2 linked regions of the Arabidopsis thaliana genome follow. The protein of the gene in region 2 interacts with the protein of the main gene of each other region in a pairwise test. Each region holds a gene or a part of one and is shown on either strand. Other genes may lie near its edges.

Region 1 (3,804 bases), on a different chromosome or scaffold from region 2:
TGTGGTCTAACTAAGAATCAGAAAGAGTAACAACCCATTTCTATTATTAGTTCTAGTGGAAGCAATCAATCGCATGCATCTATAAATATGAATAGTCAGGCATAGTAAGGGAATAACTTAACCATCATCTACCAACGAACATAAGAAAGAAAGAAGCAAAGATGGCAGCATACCTGACGAACAGAGTTTTAATGTCTTCTCTGATGTTTTTTGTAATGACTGGTTCTTTGAACGCACAAGTGGCAGACATAAAAGCGATATGTGGAAAAGCGAAAAACCAATCCTTCTGTACGAGCTACATGAAATCCAACCCAAAGACCTCAGGTGCTGATCTTCAAACGCTTGCAAATATCACATTTGGTTCTGCACAAACAAGTGCATCAGAAGGTTTCAGGAAAATTCAATCTCTAGTCAAGACAGCAACCAACCCCACTATGAAGAAAGCATACACCTCATGTGTACAACATTATAAGAGTGCAATAAGCAGTCTCAATGATGCTAAGCAGAGCCTGGCGTCAGGCGATGGCAAAGGGTTGAACATTAAGGTTTCAGCAGCTATGGAAGGACCTTCAACATGTGAACAAGACATGGCGGATTTCAAAGTTGATCCTTCAGCTGTGAAGAACAGTGGTGATTTTCAGAATATTTGTGGCATTGTACTTGTCATCTCAAACATGATGTGAGAGTGGGATTGATTCAATCTCCCTTCATCATACTCATTAGACGATTACATTAAACAGTAATGCATAAATGTTACATATATAATCAAAGAACTTTTTTTCTCCAACCCACACATCAACAAGAACCTGGTTTCTTTTCAACTTGTTATTCCATATAACTCAACTCTATTGATAAAAGAAACTAAGAGACAACAACTAGTAATAGACTTATAACAAAGAGGAGTCTGAAATCAAACACTCTTAATAAACTCATGATCTTTTTACAGATCAAGTATAATACAACAGAAGGAAACAAACAAACAAACAAAAAAGAGAGAAATTCACAGAGAAACATGAGAACAATGCAGGAAAACTCAAAAGGAATATACTTTATTCAACATACAAGATGCATACCCGAGAAAAAGATCAATGATGAAAATGCTGCTACAAGATAATTAGAGAGAGACAGAGGTAGGCTTGTAGTCAATAACCAAAACTTTATCCAAGCTGCCAAGGAAGATGGTGGCGAATTCAACGTGAGCAGGATGAGCAATGTACTCTGCAACAGCTTCTTTACTCTCAAATGTGGATTCAAAGATGTGTGTGTAACCTTGATGCAGATTCTCAATGCTCACATCTTTTCCCCTAAAATTATACAGATCCAATAATTCAATAAGACAAGAGCAGATTCGTCGATTTAGTTGATTTAACTTTTCAAAAGATCATCAATGGAGATGGATTCTCTCTGAGGGAAATTAGATCAACACTAGGAAGGTCATGAATTTCCCCAAATTGCTTAGTTTTACATAATCATATTGAGTTGATGGAAGTGTTTTTCGGATCTCGAGCATATGTCTAACACTAGGAAGCAATTCAGAATCCAAATTTACTAACCAGTGGAAAGCTTTCATAGGTTCGATGAGATTGACGAGATTGGCGTAACCTTTGATGAGCTCTTCGATTTTCTCAGGACTAACCCCATCTTTGAAACTAGCAAGCAATACGTGCTTCACAGGTCCCTTTGCTTCCTCCATTTTTGATCCTTATCCCCTGCGAATGCAAATCTCCACTATTCCACTTATCAGCTCTCTAAAGTCTTAACTAAAAATGGACGGTCGAGATCTTTGATTAAAAGAGCGGATTTGCGACGTGCAAATACGATCGTCGGATTATTGTTTTCGTTCCAAAAAATTAAATAAAACGTCCTCAGATATAAACATTACCAGATGCTCCTGGTATACTCTGTATTGAATCTTCTTCTTTTTTTTTTCTTTTCTGTGCAAATTGAATTGAAGCTTTTTTAATTTATAAAGTGTTTGTAACAATTATGTTTACTTGATTAATCATGATAAGTGCGACAAAAAATGTATATAGAGATATTCTTACCACGGTGATAATAGAGTTGGACTGTCCAGCCGCACTTAACGCCGTTTTGCAGCCGTCCAAATAGCCTTTCTATAGAAATTGGTTAACACAAATCCATGAGATTGTTAGTGCATTTGAATCTTGTACATTCCGTCATATTGCCACAAACGCAAATCTGATCGCGCGTTCCATTTCTTGGGAGTGTGATTCAAGACAGAAGGTTTCAGTCTAAGTTTTACTTAGCACTTGGAGAGCCTTCATGACTTCACAATCAAGTGTCTAAGGAAAGTAAAGTTTAAATTTCATTTTGTATTTCTCGTTATTTTTCTGTCATTTTGTTTCTGTTTTAATAATTATCATATGACAAAAAAAAAAAAAAAAGGATATTCTTACCACTAAGTCACTAAAATGCATCTTTTTATAGAAGATATATGGTATGATGCAAATAAGTATCAAAATAATCATCTATGTTCTGTGTAACATGCATTAATTAAGCAAAATAATTTACAGCATTTAAGTTCCTCTTGAGACCAGTCTTATTTACCATTTCTTTTATTGAATTTTTAACCCAAGACTAACTCTCAGGAGCTTCCAAATAAAGACTTCCCTGTAATCACTTTTTTTTTTTTGTCACACTTTTTGAAAGCGAATACCCGAGAGCTGCAAATGAAACCCATTAGTCAAGTAATCTCTACTACATGTTCTCCTTCTAGATCCGTCTCTTAGATGCTTAGAGCCAACAAGCCTGCCTCAGTCTACAGGTTACCCGGTTTATACCATAACGAGGAATGCTAGAAAAAAGGGTGTCAATTTGGGGCCATTGAAGTCTGTGTTTAAGGCAGGAAGCTATTCCATCAGCTCAGATCAAAACCCGCTTCTGCGCTTATGGCGTACATCAATTTGGTCTCAAGTAGCTCTTTGCTGCATCATTAACAACAAGACATGCTTTATTTGCTTTTTCCAATTACAACACCAAGAGAAGCTATTTGGCAACAAAACAAGTCTCTTAGCTAAGCAAAACCAAAGAGTTTGTGTTATGAGAGGACAAACCTTTGATAGGGCGGAAGCTTAAGAAGATTCATACAAGTGGCTGATGTCGGTAGTCTATCAACTGATTCATTACTCGCACTACCGGCAGCCCTGATACACATTCCATCGAGGATGGATATTTTATGATTCTATTGTCCAGGGCCCATCAAAAGTCAAAACGATTGTGAGTCTGTGTATATTACCTCTGTATGCAGAATGCAGGTTCCAAGTATTTGAAACCCAGCAGTGGTCCTCGTGAGCAGCCTGTCACAAACCTGAAATTGAAAAATAGAGGTACCTCTTAGTTCCCTTAGAAAATTCATAGACTCCGGTAAATCATTGCGTACACAGACTGTAGTAGTAACTGCAAAGTTTGCTTACTTTAAGAACTTCTTCTGGTTTTCAGTTGAGAAGCTTTTCATAACTTCCCAGAACATATCGATCACATAATGTCCCTGTCAAGTGTCAACAACATAGCGATATAATCATATATAACAATACTCCAAAAGTGTCCCTACACTAATTCACAATGGCATTTCGGCTAACAGTGAAGAACCACTCACCGCGTGGTAGCCTCCAGCATAATTAGTGTTGTTTCGCAAGTCGTCTATATCCAAACTATCAACTGAACCAGATATGAGAACCTGCAACCAAAGCCCACAAAGGTAAAATTTCTCTCTTCATGCTCCTCGAGGGAACAACTAACAAAGCAAGTATAATTATACACTTAATTGGCACCTGAAGCTCATGT
Region 2 (5,381 bases):
AGAACGCATTTGCTACAGGAGTTCATATGTCTGAAAACATTGTAGGCAAAACACTACACAAGACAGAGACAAAGATTCGTTATTACCATTACCACAACACCATAACTGTGCATGAGGAGCTTTGTAGAGAGATGTTACCAAATTCAGCCAAGAAGAAGGTGACATTGTACAATAAGCTTCCGTATGTGTATGATGACAACATGAAGAAGCTAGTGAAGACGATTAAAGAGTTTGAGCAGAAAAAACTTGGGACGGATGTGAAGAATTTCTCATGACCATAATATAGCTGTAATCTCTCTGATAAGCATTTTGTCTATAAAGGTATAGTTGTTTCTACATTACATGTATCATTTTTCATTCTGTTTTGTCCTCTTTTACTATTTCATTAATGACTTTGATCAATATTTTTGAAAATTACTTGTGTTTTCTTTTGTTATGTATTGAACTTAATAGAAATTAGAGTTACTCAAGACCTTGGACATACAAAACATCGTTGGTTTTTATTATTTTGTCGTAAGACAATAATTGATTTAGCTAAAGATTCTTAAAATCATTGACTCAATGATTCATTCGATAATAGCAAATAATTCAAAGCTAATTAGTTCTTAGTCATTGTGATTCAGTTCTTAGGCAAGACATAGGTAGCTTCTGATGTTTCTAACTATAAATAAGGTCATGAAAAGGAACAAAGTAGATTCTTTGTCCCTTCTGGTGTGACTATGATTATACACAAAGAATTTCTTGTTTTGATTTAGATGAAATTATCCAATCTTAGATAGGATTCTCTCTGATAAGCATTTTATGTGTAGTGGTATTGTTATGTTTGTTTACTTGTATCATTTTGGATCTGTTTCTCCTCAAGATTCTACTTCTCATTGGAAGAAAATGATTATTTTTTTCTGAAATACAAAAGACTACTGAAGCAACATGTCAAAATCTAAATAAAGTTTCTCTATGATATGTTCTTATTACTATGTTTCACAGTGGGGTACTTATTAGATCTCAACTTTTTAGCCGTATGGTCCTTATCTAAAGTCTAAATACTTGTTATTGACTACCAATAGAAAAAAAAAACTGAACTAGTTGCCAAGAGAGCCGGAACGAAGAAGGTCATCAGAAGGCTCCCAATCGATGGAGGAGGAGACGATCATTGAGAGCGTGGTTAGAACCTGAGTGACAGATGGACGCGAGTTAAGATCAGTTGCGACACAGCTCTTAGCAAGCTGAGCCATGGTGTAAGCCAGCTCCAACGGATACTCATTCCCTAGAGATGGATCCATAAACTCTTTTAACTTCTCTCTCACATTCTCTCCTCCAAGCACACTGTTTATCACTTTACACAACATCTCCACTTCTTCTTCTCCTTCCTTCTTCTTATGTATCGTTACTGCTTCTCTCCCCGAAAGAAGCTCAAGAACCGCAACTCCAAAAGCAAACACGTCTAGTTTCGAAGTAATGACTCCATTCTCCACATACTCTGGAGCTAAGTAGCCTTGTGTTCCTTCAACATGTCTTGTTAACTGAAGATCAAGATCACCTTCATCAAGAATCCTCGCAACACCGAAATTCGCAATCTTGGCTCTGAAATTAGAATCCAGAAGTATGTTTGTTGATTCCAAGTTCTTATGAATATGAGGTGGAGTTATATAGTTATGGAGATAATCTAACGCCTCTGCCACATCCCTTGCTATTTCAACTCTCTGTTTCCATGTCAAACTCTTCTTGCCCGACGAGTGAAGCCAATCACTGATCGATCCATTCTCTGAATACTCGAAGACGAGGTACGATGTTCCTTCACGGATACAGAAACCTGAGAGACGGATGATATTAGAATGATTTAGCTTCTTCAAAAGATTGATCTCAGAGGAAGAAACATCTCCTTTGATCACTTTCACAGCGGCATCGTCGCCGTTGATTGTCGCGCGATAAACAGAGCCTTTGATTCTGTTTTCGTCGCTGAAATTCGAAGTAGCTGATTGAAGATCGTTGAATCTGTATAGTGTTAGAGATTCTATGGCGGATTTTAAACCGAAAGCTTCTGATGAATTGGATAAATCTATTGACCATTGAGTCGTTGTTGTTGTGGGAATAGATTGTTTGGTTGATGAATCAAAGAGCTTGTTCTCCTCCGGCAACGACGACGGTAATGACTTCTTCTTAGACCTTCGTTTGTAGAAGCAGAGAGCTAAGATTGAGAGTAAGAGAAGCAAACCAGCTCCGATTCCAATTCCGATGTAGATCCATTTGTGAGAAGAAGAAGATCCCGGAGGATCAACTGGCGTTTGAGGCGGCGTAGCAACAACGGGTGGAGGAGGAGGCGACGGAGATATAACGATTTTGGTAGGTTCAGTTGTGAGAGGAACTAGAACCGGTGTGAAGAAGAAGATATTGTCTGATGTAAGCTCGTTACCTTCGGTTATGGCGGCGGATGTGCTGTTGAACATCTCGGCGATGCCGGAGATACTATCTCCCATGGCGACTAAGTAAGTCAGGAGATATTTAAATCCGGCGGTGGTTTGTTTGGCGGTGGGACAAGCACATCGGAGAGGAACAAGGAGGTTTAAGCCGGGGGTTAGTTGTCTCTCGCCGTAACGGTTTTGTGACATCATGGCTTGACACGTGGATAAAGCTTGGTAAGTATCGTTAGCCACTGAGAAATAGGTTTCATCTCCTCTGTTACCGGAGAGATTGTAAGTGGCGTTGTGTTGGTAAAATCCTCCGCTGGAGGAGGAGCAGGAGCAGTTAGCTGGGATCACGACTAATTCACGGGTTGGGATTCTGGTGGTGGCTGTGGGGAGGTTGTTGATTGATTGGATCTCTGCGGCGGAGACGTTGAGGAGTTTGGCGATTGAGTCCGCCGTGTTGTACGGTGGTTGAGACCAGAAAGTGAGGTATGAGCGGCAAGAAGGTGGGCCGTTACATGTGAATCCGTTGGTTATGTTGTCGTAGACACGGACCTCGCAGGCGAGCTGGTGGTTGTTGACGTACGGTTGCTGAGCTTTCGCCGGTGACACGGCAAAGAAGAGAAGGAGGAATAAGGTGACTGAGAGCGCGTGGAGTGTACACGCAGCCATGTTTTGTGGTGTTCTGATCTGAAGAGGGATTCTCGTGAGCTTTCTCCTGATTTAAACAGAGAGGACGATGATGAACCAAAGGAGACGGCGAAGACTTATTTAGTCAATGGAAACGCGTCGTATGTGTTGACTTTTTGTGACGTTTCTCATTGGTCCTACCGTCAAAATGATAATATGTGGGATTAGAGGAGATTTTGGTACGTCTTCTAGAAAGTTGACCAGGTCAGTAAATTTGTTCAGTAATAGTCTTAAGCTGAATACAAAAGTGAACTAAGTAATACTAATCATGCTAAATGCCCTTAAGCTACGTTAGCTCTCTCATGGACATAAAGATGGTCTTGGTCTCTTGGATCTCATGTGAAAGAGACACATTGTCTCAGCCAATACGTGTTGCTACCGTTTTTCCTTCCGGGTACTCAACCCATACCCATTCTCGACGTGATAAACAACTTAAAGATGGTCATGGACTATTTCTCGTCAATCTAAATAATCTTCTCTACAATTTTCAAACTTCTAAGTTGGCGTTGTTCCTAGAAGGAAAGAGATTCATTTGGTTTGCGGTATGATGCTGTTGGAAACTCTTACCGGCACCACGATTTTCTCATCATCCTACTATACGGAAGATTTAGTTTCATCGTTTCGATATGAAAACTGTATAACTAGATTAACCTATATCATAACCAAACTACAGTTAGATAAAATAATGGGCCAACTATTAAAGCGATCCATGAACATGGCTTTTGGATAGCAAAGTCATGAAAGGTTTACCAAAGAACTTGCAACGCATTACATATGGTTCCGACGGATACAAATTCGGTTAGAAGACTACATCAAGTCATCAACAAGCACACCAAACTGATGAATCTAAGGACGCAAAGCAGAACAAACCAAATCCATCTGACCAACTCATAGAACATCCAAGATAAGGACACTAAAGCATATAGCTCCAATAATGAGTCGAGGCAATAACTTCAATACTATAATCCACAACAAAAAACAGAGGTCCATTGTCAATCGCCATCACATGATATAAAACTAAGTTATATCCCGGGGAAGTAAGCTTTCCATTCACGATCGAACTAAAGAACAAGACAGACATGCTTTTCTAATATGACACGAGAAAATCACCCATCCTTGTGGCAGAGCACAAACATAAACCAACCACAGAATAATTGCAAGGACCTGAAATGATGCAAGTCGATGCATCTCACCAATTTAAAGGGTAAAAAAATTTCGAATCCGACGTATATAAGTTTACAGCATCGGTGTTCCAAACTGGCAAACTTCAAAAAAAAAGTTACTAACCATGAAACCAATTGGTGCCAAATTGAACAGAGTAAAAGGAAATGATAGAAAGTTTGGAGTCAAAACGAAGTTTCAGATCCATACTCAATCTCACAATGCACATAAAATCCTTCAGAGATGGTTTGGTAACAAAAAAAGTTTCCATCTTTTATTCGTTGTAAGTTACAACTATAGTGTCTATACATGATCATTAGCTATAAGGAACAAAACTGTAGAAGCTAACTTACAACCAAATGTTCAAACTTAACAGAAAATTCAATCTTCTGACTTATCAGTTCCGTTCTTGTTTCCATATATCAAACCAGTAACCTACAAATAGCATAAGAAAAAACCATTGATACTCTAAACGAAGAATCCACAAATGAATACTAAACTACTAATAAATGTTGGAAATTTACCTGAGGGTCAGCGATTGGTTTCCTCTTCTCAACGTATTGATTAGTATCAGCCATTGCAAGAGCTGCCCTAGCCTAAATCAAACCAGAGATAACTGTGGAAATGAGACTAGAGGATTCAATAAAAACACAAACTTTTTTGGATGTGCAAAAAAATCAAAATTGGTACCTCTTGTTCCTTTTTAAGATCTTGTTCTGGCTTAATCCAGAGAAAGTAAGCAATAGTTCCGGCGACGACCCAAGAAGCGGCACTCTGACCACCTCTAAGACCTCCCATGGAATTACCGATGAAAGATCTCACGTTTCCAATTGATCTTCTCCAGCTGCTAGCCATTGATTGATGCCCAACTATACGAACTGGTCTAAGGTTCTTCTGGATCTCTTCTCTGACAATTGCTTGACTTTGATGATGATTCGATTTGGAACTGAAATTGCAAGAAAAGTAAAAGCAGGCGATTTGATTTTGATTCGCATTTGCTTGGTGAACACTGCCAAAGGCTAAACCGGTCGCCGAGACGGTTAATCTGATGTTTGGGATTGACACATCATGCGGCTGTTGTTTCTCCACGTAACATTTGGAGACCCGCTCAAATATATTGTGGGCCGG

Evidence for each region.
Region 1: the proteins of LYK5 (region 2) and HS1 interact in a protein complementation assay, tested with the Arabidopsis thaliana proteins (one large-scale study listed by BioGRID).

Annotation. Positions count from the first base shown.
Region 1 is NC_003074.8:5,880,207-5,884,010, reverse strand, and holds HS1 (heat stable protein 1), read right to left. Parts: upstream 2,093-3,804; 5' UTR 2,046-2,092; intron 1,947-2,045; exon of another isoform or gene 1,935-1,946; 5' UTR 1,694-1,934; coding exon 1,554-1,693; intron 1,305-1,553; coding exon 1,115-1,304; 3' UTR 811-1,114; downstream 1-810. Other genes in the region: PMEI2 (pectin methylesterase inhibitor 2), read left to right, coding at 162-683; UPL6 (ubiquitin protein ligase 6), read right to left, coding at 2,879-2,945, 3,075-3,164, 3,257-3,328, 3,435-3,508, 3,617-3,697, 3,792-3,804.
Region 2 is NC_003071.7:14,218,769-14,224,149, forward strand, and holds LYK5 (Protein kinase superfamily protein), read right to left. Parts: upstream 3,487-5,381; 5' UTR 3,075-3,486; coding exon 1,080-3,074; 3' UTR 713-1,079; downstream 1-712. Other genes in the region: GALS1 (glycosyltransferase family protein (DUF23)), read left to right, coding at 1-275; AT2G33585 (subtilisin-like protease), read right to left, coding at 4,635-4,688, 4,778-4,849, 4,944-5,381. UniProt on the Arabidopsis thaliana protein: May recognize microbe-derived N-acetylglucosamine (NAG)-containing ligands.